3 linked regions of the Bombyx mori genome follow. The protein of the gene in region 2 purifies or fractionates together with the protein of the main gene of each other region. This does not show direct contact. Links are inferred from orthologs where the notes say so. Each region holds a gene or a part of one and is shown on either strand. Other genes may lie near its edges.

The links.
Region 1: the proteins of zinc finger MYM-type protein 3 (region 2) and ubiquilin-1 purify together in Drosophila melanogaster (affinity purification with western blotting; 3 studies listed by BioGRID, with this or other methods). This does not show direct contact. The link is inferred for Bombyx mori from reciprocal best matches to the Drosophila melanogaster genes woc and Ubqn.
Region 3: the proteins of zinc finger MYM-type protein 3 (region 2) and uncharacterized protein LOC101738225 purify together in Drosophila melanogaster (affinity purification with western blotting; 3 studies listed by BioGRID, with this or other methods). This does not show direct contact. The link is inferred for Bombyx mori from reciprocal best matches to the Drosophila melanogaster genes woc and row.

Annotation. Positions count from the first base shown.
Region 1 is NC_085127.1:9,240,042-9,246,357, forward strand, and holds the start of ubiquilin-1, read left to right. Parts: upstream 1-2,018; 5' UTR 2,019-2,150; coding exon 2,151-2,252; intron 2,253-2,377; coding exon 2,378-2,564; intron 2,565-4,100; coding exon 4,101-4,198; intron 4,199-4,771; coding exon 4,772-4,915; intron 4,916-5,736; coding exon 5,737-5,875; intron 5,876-6,316.
Region 2 is NC_085113.1:4,589,071-4,594,752, reverse strand, and holds part of zinc finger MYM-type protein 3, read left to right. Parts: intron 1-379; coding exon 380-1,645; intron 1,646-1,741; coding exon 1,742-2,018; intron 2,019-2,542; coding exon 2,543-2,651; intron 2,652-2,729; coding exon 2,730-2,844; intron 2,845-2,944; coding exon 2,945-3,574; intron 3,575-3,917; coding exon 3,918-4,088; intron 4,089-5,139; coding exon 5,140-5,375; intron 5,376-5,682.
Region 3 is NC_085110.1:16,015,753-16,021,948, forward strand, and holds the start of uncharacterized protein LOC101738225, read left to right. Parts: upstream 1-1,898; 5' UTR 1,899-2,051; coding exon 2,052-2,084; intron 2,085-2,152; coding exon 2,153-2,403; intron 2,404-2,950; coding exon 2,951-3,051; intron 3,052-4,448; coding exon 4,449-4,625; intron 4,626-6,196. Other genes in the region: tyrosine-protein phosphatase non-receptor type 23, read right to left, coding at 94-267, 612-934, 1,113-1,315, 1,395-1,481.

The DNA of each region.
Region 1 (6,316 bases), on a different chromosome or scaffold from region 2:
ACCCTAGTCTAAAATTTGTTGTTAATAAATAAAATATGTCAATTTGATATTTTTTGCCGCTTAACTTAAAAAAAAAATCTCTCTAAAGATTTCATTTTTGTTCCGTTTGGGGTGGAAACTTTGGGCCCCTGGGGCCCATCTGCTAAAAGCTTTTTTAAGGACCTTAAAAAAAACTTTTTGAGGCCTCGGGAGACCAGAAGGCCGGTACGTATTTTGCACAAAGAATTAGCATTGCTATCCAGCGTGGAAATGCTGCCAGCCTTCTGGGAACTCTGCCAACCGGCGGTGAGCTAACGCAGATTTTCTATTTCTTCTTCTTCTTCTTCTAATAAAAAATTAAAAAATGTCTAATTGTTAGATAAAAATGTCTAATTGTTATTTAACAATTAGACATTTTTTGATAATGTGTATTCGATTCTTCAGTCTGTAATTTATTTACATTAAAGAAGAAATAGAAACTTATTTGTAAATTGGTAACCCCGTACAACATACTTGGACGAACAAAAAATTAAATACTTTCTCTACATTGATCACGATATGAAAATACTTAAAATAATATAGTACCTAGCGTGATAACAAAAATATAAAATTCTATTTTTTGTTAACTACACTAAATCACTAACATAATTTATACATACTATATCCATATTATATGTTCATAAGGCTATCCACCCGAGATCTTATCAAAATATTTTCGTTCGAAAGTTATCGCATTTTTAAAGTCCATCCATTCTTAATCTGTTTTTTGTGAAATTTTTTACTAATTTTTTTATTTATTACATGAGTGGACGAGCTCACAGCTCACCTGGTGTTAAGTGGTTTCTGGAGTCCATAGACATCGACAACGTTAATGCCGCCGCCCACCTTGAGATATAAGTTCTAAGGTCTCAGTATAATTACAACGGCTTCCCCACCCTTCAAACCGAAACGCATTACTGCTTCACGCCAGAAATTGGCAGGGCTGTAGTACCTACCCGTACGGACTCACAAGAGGTACTACCACCAGTAATTACGCTAATTACGCAAAAATAAAATGGTTATCGAGGGACAGTTTTATGTTCACGTCATGACTTATGCTAGTGTGGTGTTCGCTCAAGCGGCCCGCAAACACATAGACACCTCTATGATATACACATAGACAATCCCTACAAACCCGCTCTTGCAGGTTAACAGTCGGAGTGGGTCATAAGGAACCTTGACCTATACGATGACCTGGGTCTCGAATCCATCCGGAAACACATGAAGTCAGTGTCGAAACGGTATTTCGATAAGTCTATGCGTTATGATAATCGCCTTATCGTTGTCGCCGCTGACTACTCTCTGAATCCTGATCACGCAGGAGCCAGTCACCGTCGATGTCCTAAACACGTCTTTACGGATCCATCAGATCCAATAATCCTTGCATGAGACGCCTTTAGCTCTAACAATAGGACCAGGCTTAGGGACCCCGGTAACCGTACTCGTCAAACTCGGCATAAAGTTCGACGTGTACCCTAACCTAAACATCAGTACGCTGAGTTTCTTGCCGGATCTTCTCAGTGGGTTGCGATTCCAATCCGGCAGCAGATTCATTCGCAAAGCAGCTGCTCTTGATTTGTTAGGTCTCCTTCGGAGGTGCTCGGGCAGCTATTTGCATATCCCATCCCTTCTTGATGAGCCTTTGTTCGCCCACCAGTCCTGGTGAAGCTGGAAAGGCCTCCGGGCCATGAGTAATACTAAAATAAATAAATAAGATTATGTTGGCACTAAAAGCGCATTTATTAGAGCAAATATTAAGTGTATTGTCTATAGATAGAGCTATCCTACTTAACTCACATAAATACCGTACGTTCTTTTTTGGTAATCTGCATATAATTTTTAGGATCTATTTAATTCAACGCACACACTTGCATGTGCACTCAAAAATGTTTTTATTCTCATGCTTGGTCTTAAGATTCACAAATCAAAATAGAGGTCAATCAGCAATTTCCAAATAGAACCATGCCAACTATTTTTGTGAAATTTATGGTCTTAGTTGTCTGGCAGCACTACTAGTTAGCCGTCATACTGACCCATAGACAATATACAAGTCAACGCTATTCGTCAATTTGTCTTTCTCGTATAAATTTTACTTTTCCGCCAAAGTACATAGTCATTCTAGAATTGCCAAAATGGCAGAGGGACAAGACGACCCTAAAAAAATTACGATCACAGTTAAAACCCCGAAAGAGAAGCAGCAAGTTGAAATTGAGGAAGATGCCGATATCAAAAGAGTGAGTAGGGGGCCGTGAAATCCTTCATTCATGGCGTAATAACATTGATATGGGACACGCAATCAGTGACGACATATATTTCTTCATTCCGGCACATAAAAACGCAGTATTTTCATTCGTTTTAGCTCAAAGAAGTGTTGTCTTCAAAATTCAGTACAGAACCAGAACAATTATGTCTTATTTTCGCCGGGAAAATCATGAATGATGCCGATACCCTGAAGCAACACAACATCAAAGATGGGTTGACAGTGCATCTAGTGATTAAAGCTCCTCCAAGACCAGAACCGGAGGGTGCGGCTCGTAGACCCCCAGGTAAATTAACTAACTAGGATTGGATTTTCATTAGTTGTGTTGACTAACGAGTTCCAAGTCCATTTCAATAAAATATGTCATACGAATTAACCTGGATAATGAAATACAGTTAGTTTAGCTATTTGCAAGTAAACATTGATGATATTTAATTGTTTTGAGAAACAAATGGAGGAACATACAAGAATCATATTCACTAATTATGGACACTATAAAATGTATGTAAATTTTAGAGATTCCAATGTGAAGATTTCAATGAGCCAGTGAAAATTTTTGTTAGACTCACAACCAAAATGTTATTGAAAACTTATCTTGAAAATCTTGCTGGCTTGATATGTCGTCTAATTTCTTCTGCCATATAAGCTATCGCTACATGTATCATATATTATATCCACTCTTAAAGTGAAAAAAAATAGAAACTTTTTGGAAAAATAGATGGCATACTGTTAACCTGCTCAGGTGGAATCCACCAATTTGCCTATTAATGCAGCATGGCATGCACACATTAGTTTGCAGGATAGGACAGTCATTATCTAAGACAATTTGGTCTTTTGCCTCGTGTGTCTAGTGGTTTCATTCACATTGTGATATCAATGGGCTTTGTTAAGCACTTAAAACTAGGTGCTCCTCCATCTATCTGTGCAATAAAAATAAATAATAGATATTTGACTGGGAACTTGTGTATATTATATTTCTCTCTTCTTCTCTGTCGTTTCCTCATGACTGAGGGTTGTGACCACCTTGGTCCAGTTTTTGCACCAGCTTCCTCCAATGCTGCCTGCATTTGGCCTGCTTAATGGCTTAATATTTATGTCATAGGAAAATTAAATTTCTCGTACAGCATATTAGCTTCAGTGGCAAATTGAAAACTTTATTTTGGGCCACAAAGCTTTTGGAAAATATAAATATATTACATTTTGCTGCACTAAATATTAATTTCTTACTTGTAAAGTAAAGCTTTTATTGTGTTAATCAAGGTAAAACAATAATTAAGCATAAACTTTTTCTTTACAGTAAATCAGAAACTTTGGTATATGTTGTTTTGACCTGTTTTAGTCTAATAAAGATAATTTTTTGTAAAAGATATGTCAGGTGTTAATGGGATACTTGTGTTTATGGCTATATCTAACATTTATGACTTGTGAGCAATTGGCACACCTGCTGTTAAAGGTAACCAGAATCTATAGACATCTTATGGTGAACATGTCCACATTCATCATTGTGACACATTCAGTTAGAAGCCACAGTAGCATTAGTAAAACAGTAATTTCACACACATCTATTCTACTCATAAACTAGACAATCTGTTATAACATCAGATCCTCTCGCTCAGACTGGCCAAATACTAATAGTTAATATGATGATGATAATAATCATTTAAATACTTGGATGTTTGTTTCAAATAAAAATTCTTCTTATTTGGATTTATTTTACTAGAAAGAAATCCAATTGTTTACTTAATAACACTTGTGTTAGATTATTGAAAATTATAAAAATATGAAATTTATTTCCACTACATTTGTAATATCATTTTCCTAGCTGACGTCAGTGCTACACCATTTGGTTTAAACTCGCTGGGTGGGCTGGCGGGTCTTGAAAGCTTGGGCCTTGGTCAGAGTACTTTTATGGATCTCCAGGTATTTATATCACAGGACTGCTTTATATGATATTGAAAAGTTTTCAGCTACATTTATAAACTGTAAAACTGTAATTTTTTATTATTAACAAGCCTTTCGTTTAGTCTATTTATTGGGGTTCTCAACCCATCTAGCACAGTTACCGCAACCCATATGACAGCTTCAGATAGAATTCCAAGTAACAATTTAATTAGGATATTTCCTTTTTTTTCCTACCTATGCTGATACCCTTGAAAGGCTATATCAGTGTTACTCTAGCGTATAGGTGAGTTCTCAGGACTCAAACCGGAGGTGTTGCTAACACTGGCCCTAGCAAGAACAGTGCTTCACAGAATCTACCACCAGATCAAAAACACAACCCACTGAGAAGATAACCAAAATGCATGATTGTTTTGCTTTTTTTGTGTTTTTTTTTTAATTCAGACTGGCTTTATATGCAATAGAACATACGGCCCTATTAATAGCAAGTTTAAGCCGTCCCTCATAAACCAGCAATGATAGAGGAACAGTCAAACTTACGCCTACTGTATAATTAACAAATTTGGACCCTACTAAGGCTTATATTATTCACAGGCTAGAATGCAACAGGAACTTCTGTCCAACCCTGATATGCTCAGACAAGTCTTAGACAATCCATTGGTGCAGCAGATGATGAATGATCCTGAGAATATGCGTAGCCTCATCACCTCCAACCCACAAATGCAAGATCTCATGTCTGTGAGTCATTTTTTTACTAAAATTGTACTATTATAAAGTAATAAATACTACTAATGACTAGTATATAATAATAAAAATTTACTAACTTCATAAATTAACACGTTGCCTGTCCGTGCATTATATATAATGCATTTTTGGTCCAGCTGTGACGTCCGTGCATTATATGTAATCCACGATGTTCTTGTTACTACATTCGTGCATTATAAGTAATGCACGGTATTCTAGCTGACACGTCTGTGCATTAAAACTAATGCATGCATGAAATTCAGTATTTTAGTTGTTTTTGAAAGTGTTTTTTGAAAAGCACTTACATGTACTTCATAAGTACATAAAATGAAATAGTTAAGCCGAAAAAAAAACGGGGTCATGGGTACTTAACCAAAATACTCTGGACAGGCAACGTGCTAACTTTGAAGACATACAATACAATAAATCTTTGGCTGTATAGATCAGTAATTGGCAAAGTGCCTTGAAAGAACCCTTCGTAGAGTACAGAATCAGAGAACAAAATTGGAAGTATACAAAATCTAGCGAGCATATAGATGAAGAGCCAACAAATGGAAAAAAAACATATTATTCTTTTGAGAGCTTGTTAAGCTTGACCCTCAATTTTTTTCTTAATTCAGTTCATTTATTCTAACAAAATTCATACTATAAAATCCCATTGAGAATCACTGGTATGCATAATAGAACGAAAGCCTAATATTGAAACTTATTGAAAAGAAGAAACCATTGGTTATGTCAGCTAGTAATCACATTTCAAAATAAATACAAGTTGCAGTTGCAATCAAGATAAACGTATAGCTGCTTGATTTTTTCAGAGAAATCCAGAAATCAGTCATATGTTAAACAATCCTGAATTATTACGTCAAACTATGGAGTTGGCTCGCAACCCCGCTATGTTGCAAGAGTTGATGCGCTCACACGACCGCGCCCTCTCCAATCTCGAAAGTATACCAGGTAAGTTACCGATGTTTGATATAAAATCTATACTTCTATTCTAATATTATAAAGAGGAAATATTTGTTTGTTTGTATTGAATAGGCTCCGAAAATTAAAACGATTTGAAAAATTCTTTCACTGTTTGGAAGCTACACTACTCCCGATAATCTTTTTTGAAAAAAATTAGGGATCCTTACTAAAACTCCAATAATGTAAAAAAAATACCTAAAATATTCTTTACATCGCGTGCCCTGCGAAAACTATTGAGGATAGAATAAAATAATGTACTACGACTTTGTAGAACACTTTATTATTTATGAAAAGTGTCGCGACAGCTATTATAGTTATGCCGCAATAACGGTTCTTCTATTTAAAAAATAAAACATCGTCAAATATCGTTGAAAATTTTGTTAAAGACCCGAGCGGAGCCGGAGCGGGCCGCTAGTCTAATTAATATAA
Region 2 (5,682 bases):
ATAGTAAAAATTCCGGTCACCGTTCTCGTCGAACCCGTCGCTTGCGACGAAGGGCTCGACGAGTAAGTTAACTCTCAGACACAGCCCACTGAGTTTCTCGCCGGATCTTCTCAGTGGGTCGCGTTTCCGATCCGGTGGTAGATTCTGCGAAGCACGACTCTTGCTAAGGTTCGTGTTAGCATCATAGCTTAGGTAGGAAAAAAAAAAGTAGTAAAAACATATATTGCAAAATGAATTAATGATTTAGTGAACATTGGTTCAGTGATCAATTGATTGAATTAAGAACCTCTAAACCAGGTGGGATGTGAGCTCGTCCACCCATCCAATCAATAAAACAAAAAAAAACAAGTGTTTATTAACAGTATATTACTTTTTATAGATAAAGACAATGAACATGATGAAAGTATAGATACAGAGGAATCCACAGTTACTAATATTATTCAGGAGAGTGCTCCCACTGAAGGGAAATGTGTTCAATGCACTACAGTAAAGCCATGCTACTTCCGATTTACAAAAAAAGGAGATACTATGTTGCTGTGCAGTGAAATGTGTGAATCAAGATATGAAACTCAAAATCCAGGACAATATAAGATAACCCAAAAAAAATATTTAATTGAAGAAATCGTTCCTAACTATTTATCATGTTCAGAGTGTGAGGAAATGAAAGTTTGTTATTTCTATTACAATTACGACGGCGAAGACACGAATTATTGTTCTCTAAGTTGTTTATACAGTATGATGGCCGATGAGAGAGAAAAGTATACATATAAACGAAGAAAAATAGTCGCACAAGAGGTTGAACCAGTTGAAGGTCAATGCTGTGTTTGTAATCAGATGAAAAACTGTAAATTCACGATAACTAAGTATGGGGAAAAACTTTTAATTTGCGAAGCAAATTGTATTCACACTCTGAATTCAGAAGAACAAGGCAGGTATATTCTTAAAATGCTTAGGCCTGTTAGAAAGCAACCAACAAGAAAAAAAGCAAACCCACCTCTGTTAAAATTGAAGGTTATCAGCAATGCCACAGACAAGTACTTAGATGAAGCATATAAAATTCAAGCAAAAACACCTGCCATGGTTCAAGCCGCTAGGGAAGAAAGGGATAGAACATTTTTACGTAAATGTACCTATTGTTATATGTTACTTGATGTAAATGAGAAAATGTTGGTTTGGGAGACAATGGACTTTTGTGGTGAAGTGTGTTTAGGACGATATCAGAATAAAATTGGATCTAGATGTGCAAACTGTAAGAATCCAGTGCTGCATACAAGCTTGGGAAAATATTGTGTCAGATTTGGTTATGACATCCGACAGTTTTGTAATTCGGCATGTTTAGAAGAGTTTAAGAAAGGATTGAAGATATGTTGTTATTGTCAAAGAGATATCTCCTCTGGTCACCAAGGTTTTTTGGCTCCTGTTGGTGATAAAGGCCAATTCAAAGACTTCTGTTCTCAAAACTGCATGGGAAAGTTTGATCAGATGAGTAAGAATCCAATACCGCAGGCGGTGTGGGCGAAGTGCGCGGTGTGTTCTTTAGAGAAGGCCACAACGATTGAGGTTGAAGTTTCCGAAGAAGTAACACAGAGATTATGTTCAGATCCATGTTTTGCTGCATTTAAATTTGTAAATAATATATTTCCAGGTGTGTGTATAATCCTCTTATAAATATATTAAATAATCAAAGTTTTCAATGTTGCTACCAATGTGGTTTTCTATTTAAAAATATTCCTATTTACAGATCAGTGTCGATGGTGTAAAAAGTACTTTGAAAGAAAATTGACAAAATGTTTTTCGATATATGACGACACAGAGGCGATATGTTTTTGTTCAAAGTCCTGTCTAAACGTGTATATAAGTAACACTCGACACATAGTTCCCTGCAGTTGGTGTAAAGTGAAAAAATACAACTTTGATATGATAAAGCGGATACCGGCAAGCGGACAAGCAGTGTTGATGTGTTCTCTTAATTGTTTGAATCTCTACCAAGTTTCCATAAATGCTGTATCATCGAGAAGGTGAGCTCTTACTGTATCCAGATTTTTAAAAGATACCATGAGAAAATTAACTGTTAATGAGAATTACTTATTATCCTTTACTCCTGTAATTCTTCATGGGCTTGATAAAAAGGTGCTAAGAAATTCATCGAAGTCTACGTAAAAGCACCTGTCGGCGAATAGAAGTGTATCTGGTGGTAGGATTGGTAGTGTTGCAGTTAATACTCATATATTTGTATTGATATCAGCTTCAAATTCTTCTGTGGGCACTAATTTCTAAAACCAAATATGTACCTTACTCGTGTCCACGAACGTCGGAGATCTTGTTATGAATATCTATGAAAGTAGGATGATTGTAAAATTGCGTTATTAGTGAAGGTAACCACATCACCTGCCTACTCACTACAGCAATCCTGTGTTTCGACTTAAGACAATACAATTTATCTCTAAAGGTTAGCAATATTTATAACAATGCGGGCTCTATACACTTCTGCCTATTGATTCTGATAAACAAAAGAAACTCAATCCTTTAATTTAATTTTCAGGACCAAATGTGACCTGTGTAAAAGAACGTCATTAGCTCAATACCATTTGACAATGTCTGATGCGACAGTTCGAAACTTTTGCACGTATCAATGCGTCATGTCATTTCAGGTAAGATTTAAAAGTATATGTTAAAACAAGGATGCTGCTTGTTTCCGATTACGTCATTAACTCTCGGTTGTCATGTAGGGTCAGTACTCAAAGCACACACCTCCACTACTCCCCGGCGAGTCAATTGATCAACAGAAAGCGGTCCCGACAGGCGCACCGAGGCGAAATTACAATGCTTCTGGAAAAAATAATAGTAAGATAATAAGAGATTTATTAACAAAACACTGCAATCACAAGATATCAGAATTTTTACATTATAAGCGAAATAAAAAACCCAACAAAACTTATTACAGCACAACGAACAGCCAGTGAAGGTTTACCAGTAATCTCAAACGTGCAATCTCTGGCCAGTCCGAGTCCCTCTGTGGCCATCACCCGCGGCAAGTCCAAGCGGCTCGCCCAGCCCCCGCCCGCAGCCGCGCCCCCCGCCGCGCCCCCCACCCCGCCGCCGCCTCCTGCGCCACCCACACCGCCGCCCCCGCCCCCGCCCAAGGTCTACAACCACGTCATCGTCAAAACGCTACCTCCTCGAGAGGTGGCCAACAAAGGGACCATGTCGAAGCCGATGATGGTTTCCAAAGGTGTCTCATGTCGACCCCATCCCTGTACGAAAGAGTGCCAGACAGATTCGAGCTTGGAACGAAAAGTTTTGATCCCTGTCCCGGTTCCGATATATGTGCCGGTGCCGTGCGTCATGTGGTCTCTGCCCTTCCCTGTCCCCGTACCCATTCCCATTCCGGTACCCACTCCGGTCTTCATTCCGACGACGAGGAATTCCGCTAAAGGAATAATGAAGGAAATAAACAAGATACACGACAAGATGCCCACAGATCCATTTGAAGCGGAGTTGTTGATGATGGCTGAAATGGTAGCCGGGGATAAGAAGAAAGATCAAAGTGATTCAGATACTGATGACGATAATGGTACGCAAAAAAATAGTTTAATTTTAAATGCATAGGGATGAATTTGAAATGCTTAGAGGTATATTATCATTTATGTTTTGAGACATTAATGAACTATTAAAAAACATGATTACCATTTAATTTTCTAGTATTTATTTTGTTCATTATTTTGGTCTCACTTTTATAATTTTACTACAATTTTTATCAACAATGCTACTTTATATTACTTTACTAGAAATAACACAAAAATGTCAATAGACAGTTGATGATATGCTTTTTGAATTTGAAGCTGATTTCAATTACAATGTTTTGGTCAAAGTAATAAAAAAAAGGTTTTTAAAAAGAAATAAATTATTTTGATCAGCGGAAGAAGGATTCAGCCCCGTAGCAGGCATGGACGGTAATAACGCTTTCGGAGAGGACATGCTGCAGATGGCTTTAAAAATGGCCACGGAATACGAAGATCAACCGGTAGACTTAGAATCTGCAATGACAGCTAACACGATCACTCCGAGCTCACATCCCGGAATGCCTGGTGAGTGCTACACTATGAAATTAAACACTTCACAAGTATGGGATAATGGCAGTTGTATATTAAACAAAGAACGCGAATGCGTCACCCTCGTTTGCGCCAAGTAATTTATTAAATGACTTTGTAGGAAAGAGACAAAACGATACTTGCTCATTTGAGAATTGTTATCGTCCGAGTTTAATAAATATCTGTGGCATTTTCAAGCATGTGTTTGAGTGTACACTTGCATATGGCCTGTTTACATTTTTATTAATGTGAGTGGTGTCATGTATTGCATAGCAGTTTAAAACAGCTTATGAAGTGAAAGCATGTCTAAAGCTGATTCATTCGATGTATGCTGTAAATCATGTAATAAAAGTGTGTAGAATAGAAAATAAAGGCACTATATATCATAAACTAATCTGTAATAACATGAACGAACTGTGTACATATTATTATATTAAACGCCTACACTAATCACTACTAATAATCATTTGGATTAAATTGTTCCAACCTACCACTCATCACAGTGGACCATCACTTGAGAAAAATAAGGGCAAGGAAGGAAAGAAAAAAGTAAATGAAAGTAAAAAAAAGAGATCCATTGGGTGTCTTTCATAGTAGTTATTCTAGAATCTTAGTTTATTGAAGTCTGAATAAGGTTATCAGTATACCACATTAACTATAATTAATAATTCTAATATAAGAATTACGAAGTACAATAAACATAGACATATCACTAGCCGCGTTAAGAGATAAGGTCGCAATGGAGGAGCCTCACCCTGGGGGAACCACCTACTTGATCACGGTATCCCCTACGCCAGGTCTAAGCCTTTGCTTCCTGGCTGAGCCTTTGCTCCTGGCTGAGCCTTTGCTCCTGGCTGAGCCTTTGCTCCTGGCTGAGCCTTTGCTTCGTGGTTGAGCTTGACCTTTGCTCGCCCACCTGTCCTAAACTGGAAAGGCTGGTTAAACTTCCGGGCCACCAGTAATCTTTCAATCATAGAAAAAAAAAAGATAAGGTCGAAGTGTGAATCGTAAGGAATAATTTTACTAGCGATAATAATTGTGGTTACAGGTCTAGAGGGTGACGGCATGCACCACCACCACCTGATGGTGATGGAGCAGCAGCGCGCGGTGGCGGCGCTGCGCGCGGCGGGGGGCGCGGCCCGCAAGCGAGTGCCCGCGCCCGCCGCGCCCCCCGCCGCGCGCCCGCAGCGCTCCGGCAAGAGGCGCCGCGCCGACCCGCCGCCCCCGCAGCCCGACCCGCCCAGGGAACCCGCAGAGAAACCTGACGCCAACATGTGCCTCAAGGTCCGCCTGGTGCATTCTTAGATATCTCGATTACAGATCTTCGACAGATTTGTGCTTTTTTTTTGAAGGTTTGAAGGGTGGGGCAGCCGTTGTAACTATACTTGAGATCTTAGAACTTATATCTCAAGGTGGGTGGCGCATTTACGTCATAGATGTCTATGGGCTCCAGTAACCACTTAACACCAGGTGGGCTGTGAGCTCGTCCACCCATCTAAACAAAAAAAAAACAACTAAAGTATTGATTTGACTTTTTGTTAATAAAACCTAAAACACAAAAAAAATACTAAAGTATTTAGGCAATTTTTCA
Region 3 (6,196 bases), on a different chromosome or scaffold from region 2:
ATTTTATGCATCTCCTATTTACCACCTATAAACAGATTGTATTGTACACCATTAAGCCTATAAAAGTACAAATTTTCTAATAATTATTCTTACCTTGATACAGACAGGCAATAGATCCAACAAATGACATTTTAAAAGAAAGGGACCGATACCAATAGTTGTACAGGGTTATACCAACAACTTCATAAACATTTTCTGAACCAGTGGACGGTCCAAGTAAAGCCAGAGCATTTTTGCAGAATAAAACAACTTGTATTGCTACTGCTCCTGAAATTTAAAATTCATGATTTCAAATAACTAGGTATAAGACAGGCTGCTATAAATTTGAAAGTGTACACGCACACCAACAAAAACAAACCTTACTTTCAATTCACAGATAGTAACCTGAAGCAGTGATTCGAGTAAAAAAAAAATCATTGTTTTTAATCAAAACATGGTGATGATTCATCAACATAATAATATGTTATCTACAACAATACTTTTACTATACATGTATAAGATATGTTTTGTAGTGTATACTTAACAAGTGGACTTCAACTTTAATGTATTCTTATTTTGAGTTCACAAATATTCCTTAAACAACTGGTCTTCTATAAAACTACATTAATTACCAATAACACGGGGCTTTCTTGTATCTTGTATACTCTTCTCTAGAATACATTGCTGGGCTTGACCTAAGCAAATTTCCTGGAGAAGTCTCATTATTTCTGAGGAAATATCAACACCTGGAGGTTGAGTAAATTGCTCTCTCAAGAGTTGAAATGAGTATGCAGCATGCTGGAAGTGAGTGCAAGTGGCTTTCAGGCTTTCAGCTGTGGTACGTGGCTCCATTGCACCAAGTTCGGTATTTAGGGCACCAATATTGTAAAGAATACATCCTAATTCAAACCTAGCAGATGCTGAGGTACAATTCATGCTTGCGTAGAGATCCTTCCTGTTAAGAAATAAATAGATTAACAAGAAAATTATTTTTACTAAAGGTAGGAATAGTGTAAAGTGTAAAGAATCAAGAATATTGAACAATGCTTATAGATAATAATCTTCTTTAGGTGAATCAATGATTCATACATTTTTAACTAATCAAATCAACTTAAGCTAATTAGATTACCTACCAAGTGAAATTGCAAGCCGCCGGCTGGCCTTTGCTCATTGGGAATCGGCTTTGCATGGCACGAAGTTGGCAAAAATATCTAATTAAAGATTTCAAGCCTGCCGTATCCATTGTAGGCCTCACGGCGGCCGATCGTAGCCCTTCGAGCGAATGAATCTCATTACTGTAGCTTTCTGGATCTTCTTTATAAACTTCGGCAATGTACTAGAAAATTCCAAAGAAAAAAGTGGACAAAGAAACAACAAACAAATCTTAGCCGTAGACAGATTATAGACCTATTTACCTGTTTAAGTTTTGTTCCAAATTTTGTATTCTCTGTTGATACTTTTAATTCGAAACTGATAAGGGGTATCTTCGGTACCGCTTCCATAATTAATGGAAGCTAACTTCGATTAGAAACGTAGTTAAGGAAATTTCACTTGAACGACAATTTCATCACAAACAATTTTATCAAACTATCAGTTGCGGAGATTATTTACTTTCTTTTTTAAATTATAATGGCTTTGGCTTCAGTACCATTTGGCAAAATTTATGGAGGAATAATAGTGCCCAAAAAATCAACAAACCTTTGTTTCGTAATATTAAAATACTTTACAAAGAAAAATAATTTGTTATAGTCATTTTAAATATTTATAACTAAAAAAAGTATAAATAAGCGAGATTTAAAACACAAATTGCAAAATAAAAAGTCGCTTCGTCCTTAATTTCCAGAAATGTTGGCTGTATAATGTAAAATCACTTTGCCGATAATATCGAAATCGAACAAAACATCTAAGTACTCTGTGAAAGCACAGATCAATGTGAAAGCGTCAGACATAGATAATACACATAATCATAGATTATACACTTAATATCACAATATAAATGAGCCTCTAATAAATGTAGGTGCATCAGATGCTAGTGAATTTTTACTATAATATGATTTGAACAAACTTACATTATGAAGCTAAAGAAAGCTAAGTCAGATACCGAGGTAAGTGAAATAATTACCGATGTTTCCTTCAAATGCCAATATCCATAACCATCTAAAGTACTTTTTAGGAAGTCATTCCACCTCAAGCCGAAATCATTGAAGCCGATCTCTACAAGAGATCGTATTTCGGTCCAGACATACCAACATTAGAGCTAGAATGCTGGGAAGAAGAACTATCAGAAGTCCAACTACAAGCATACAAAAATGCCGACGATGAGTACAAAAGTATCCAAAACAAACTGGACGATATAGTTAAGAGCACTGGCGGCCAGATTGTTTACAACGGCGATCAATTCACCGCGTATCAGTTGCTTGGAAAGTAAGTAAATACTAGATTTTTATGAATCATTTATTTCTATCTTCCTCCAGAAATAAGGTGTCTGAATCCAAACCCAATTTTTTTAATTTATTGTTTATTACACTTCATAAACATGAATGTAGATGGTATTGTCCATCAGTCAAGCAACGGTGAGAACATAGTTGGTGGATTAATTGATAAATTATTAATATACATAATTATAATTATTAAAATATAAATTGATAAATTTTGATTCCAAATTAAATGCATAATGAAAGTATTTCAAAACCTTTATTATATTCTGATCTCACAATATAGATTAAATTAAACCAATTCCATCTAATCTACATGAAATTTATTGAATTGAACTGACTTCTGTGAGATATTAATTATAAAATGAATGAAGTCGTTGATCTTGTGTCACAAGATTGAAGCAGTTGGCTTATAAAATTCAAATTCACAAGTATATATTATTATTTTGTATCTGTAATATTTAGTAAACAAACATACTATTCCACAAAGGTCTAAAGGTAATAATATATTTCATAAATATTTCTTTTGTGTTTAGACAACCAGCATTGAAAGACTTGGAGCGTCAAAGTGCGGACATAATAAGATCTAGATCACGTTCTATGTCTATCTCAAAGGACAGACCAACAACACGAAGAGGTAATTTTGATATTCCATTTTGATTTCTACGTAAAACTTAATAGAAGGCTCATTTGGTATAAAACAGCTATGGTTGTGCATGTCTTTGAAACTACCACCAATCACTTAAATGCAATTCTGCAAAAAAAATCCTGTAAATGGAATTCTGAATTGGAAAACTTATTGAAAAACCACCTTACATTTCAAATTAGTATATAGGAATTGCCGTTGCTTCTTGGATAAATGCAGGGATACAAACATTTTGTACCAATCCAGGTGTGCTCAATATCTATGCTAATGTTATTCAGAGTAATTATACAAATTTTGTGGAGTTCCATTTTATTAAATTGTGCTGATGTTCAATCATCTTGGTAATATTTGTGAACTAACAGTACATACATTACTTAACTTTTTTTTATTGCTTAGATGGGTGGACGACCTCGCAGCCCACATGATGTTAAGTGGTTACTGGAGCCCATAGACATCCACGACGTAAATGCGCCACCCACCTTGAGATATAAGTTCTAAGGTCTCAAGTATAGTTACAACGGCTGCCCCACCCTTCAAACCGAAACGCATTACTGCTTTACGGCAGAAATAGGCAGGGCGGTGGTACCTACCCGCGCGGACTCACAAGAGGTCCTACCACCAGTAATTACGCAAATTATAATTTTGCGGGTTTCATTTTTATTACACGAGTTATTCCTTCACTGTGGAAGTCAATCGTGAACATTTGTTGAGTACTTATTTCATTAGAAAAATTGGTACTCGCCTGGGATTCGAATACCGGTGCATCGCTCAACACGAATGCACCGGACGTCTTATCCTTGAGGCCACGATGACTATACATTAGAAAAGTTTGTACTCGCCTGGGATTCGAACACCGGCGCATCGCTCAACACGAATGCACTGAAAAACCAAAACAGTAAAATGATTACTTAGAGTATTAACTGTCACTTCAAGAATTATAAAATCGTCTGGCACTTCAAATCTTAAAGAAATAAAATTATCTTTACTTTGTAATTATCAAGAAATTCTTTAATTTTAATGTATTTAAATAGAAATGGTTAAAATGGTAAAAAAAATATGGTTAAAGTTGTCATCGAGCACGGCAAATGTACCCTACATTTCATAGACCCTATTGTACCCACCATTACATTACTACATGACTAAATTGACATAAATTCAAGGGCGGCTCATACTTCTTGCCTTAAAGCAGCCAACACAGCTAAACTGCTGCTGAATATACTATTCCTAAATACCGAAACTTTAAAGTTAAAGTTTAAATGTAGTTAGCTTAACGTTAGTTTAAAGTTGAAGTAACTTAAAGTTAGTTTCATTTGCCATTACCTTACATATTGAAGAACTTCATCTTCAAGAATTATAAACTGTGAATGTTTGTAAACTTTTCATTCTAGGACGTCAGAAGAGGACTCGTGGTGAAGAAAAATACCATTCTCCTTCACCAGAAAAAACCAAATCTCCTGAACCGAAACACAAGAAAAAAAAGAAAGATAAAGAGAAGAACAAAGAAAAGGACAAGGAAAAAGAGAAAGAAAACACAAAGACTAAAGACAAGACACTTGCACCTTCTAGTAAGTTTCAAGAGAATTAATTGATTTGAAGGACGTATTTTAGGACGCTTTCCGGGTCATCGTTCTCGTCGAACCCGTTCTTTGCAACGAAGGGCTCGGCGAGTAAATTAACCCACAGACACAGCCCACTGATTTTCTCACTGGATTTTCTCAGTGGGTCGAGTTTCCGATCCGGTGGTAGATTCTGCGAAGCACGGCTCTTGCTAGTGTTCATGTTAGCAACATCGTCAGGTTTGAGCTCACCTATTAACTCGGCGACGCTGACATGGTCTCTGTAGACCATCAACTTAGGTATGAAAAAAAAGGACGATTTTTAAGGAAATCATCCTACGTATTTTTTAAGTTATACTTCTTTAGGCGCGTTATGAAAAATTGATGAGAGTGAAATTTTACGATGCGCGCGCACCGTGACACAAAATTAACAGAAATGAAGTTGCCCACTAAATCGCTCATTACAATACGACCGACGTAGCTTGGCGAGTCTGAATATAGCCGCAGGTGAACTTTCGCGCATGTACACTCGTAAAAAAAAGTGTTATTAGCATTCATTTTTTTAAATCAAAATACGAATTAAAATTTCCATATACAGGGACCAAGTACAAATAAAATGAATATCAAAACACTATGAGGCAGAAAGCTATAAAAATAACGTAATAATTTAAAGAGAGATAATAAAAGAATGATAAATTAAGACAGAAAGCTGTAAAAATAACGTAATTAAATTAATTCGAATGTAAGCCCGAACACTGCCTTCAGTTGCGATCCGCTGTACTGTGCGTTGCGATACACCAGTTGCGTTAGCAACTCTAAATGAAACTGTCAACATCTTTTACGATTTCTTCTTCTTCTTTTTAAAAAAAAAATCAAAAATTATGTTTGTCGGCCGACGATTTAAAACACTATTATGCTTTGGTGGCATCTTTGTTAACGAATAGTATAAAATAGTATAAATGCCAAGGGACACTTAATACTAAAACAAATTTAAACACAAACAATCTTAAAACTAAACAAAAAACTGAGCACTAAACAAAAACAGTATAATAATAACAAATCAATGAAAACTTTTGTAGCCGCCCGTACTCAAGACAGAGATCCAATATGCGTGTTTGAGGATGTTGTTTAATCGATTTTTTTTCAAATTGATTAAAATTTAAATAAAAAAATATATCTATATTCCATTTTGTAGGAGATTTAAAATATTCACAAACAGTCCCTATTGTAGTAGTTGTTTATAAATCACTGATATTCAACTAAATCATGTCTTTCAACCAAGAAAATAAAGTGTTATTAGTTTTTTATTAAAGATGAAGTCTCGTTTACTAATGACAACATTCAAGAAGTTTGTAAATCTATTTCGTTCAGTATCTCATAAAAACAAAAATCAATAAATTCTAAATCGATAAAAACCGATTGCGATATTTGATTGAATAAAGGGACGATTGTGTTTACACAGAGTCAATCCCTAGCCTAGACCTCCGCCCCGCGCACGTCCGTCATGCCACCATTTGGTTCTTAAAAACGTTTGTGCGCAGCCTTCTGCGCGAAGTTCGGACTCGCCAAGATACATCGGT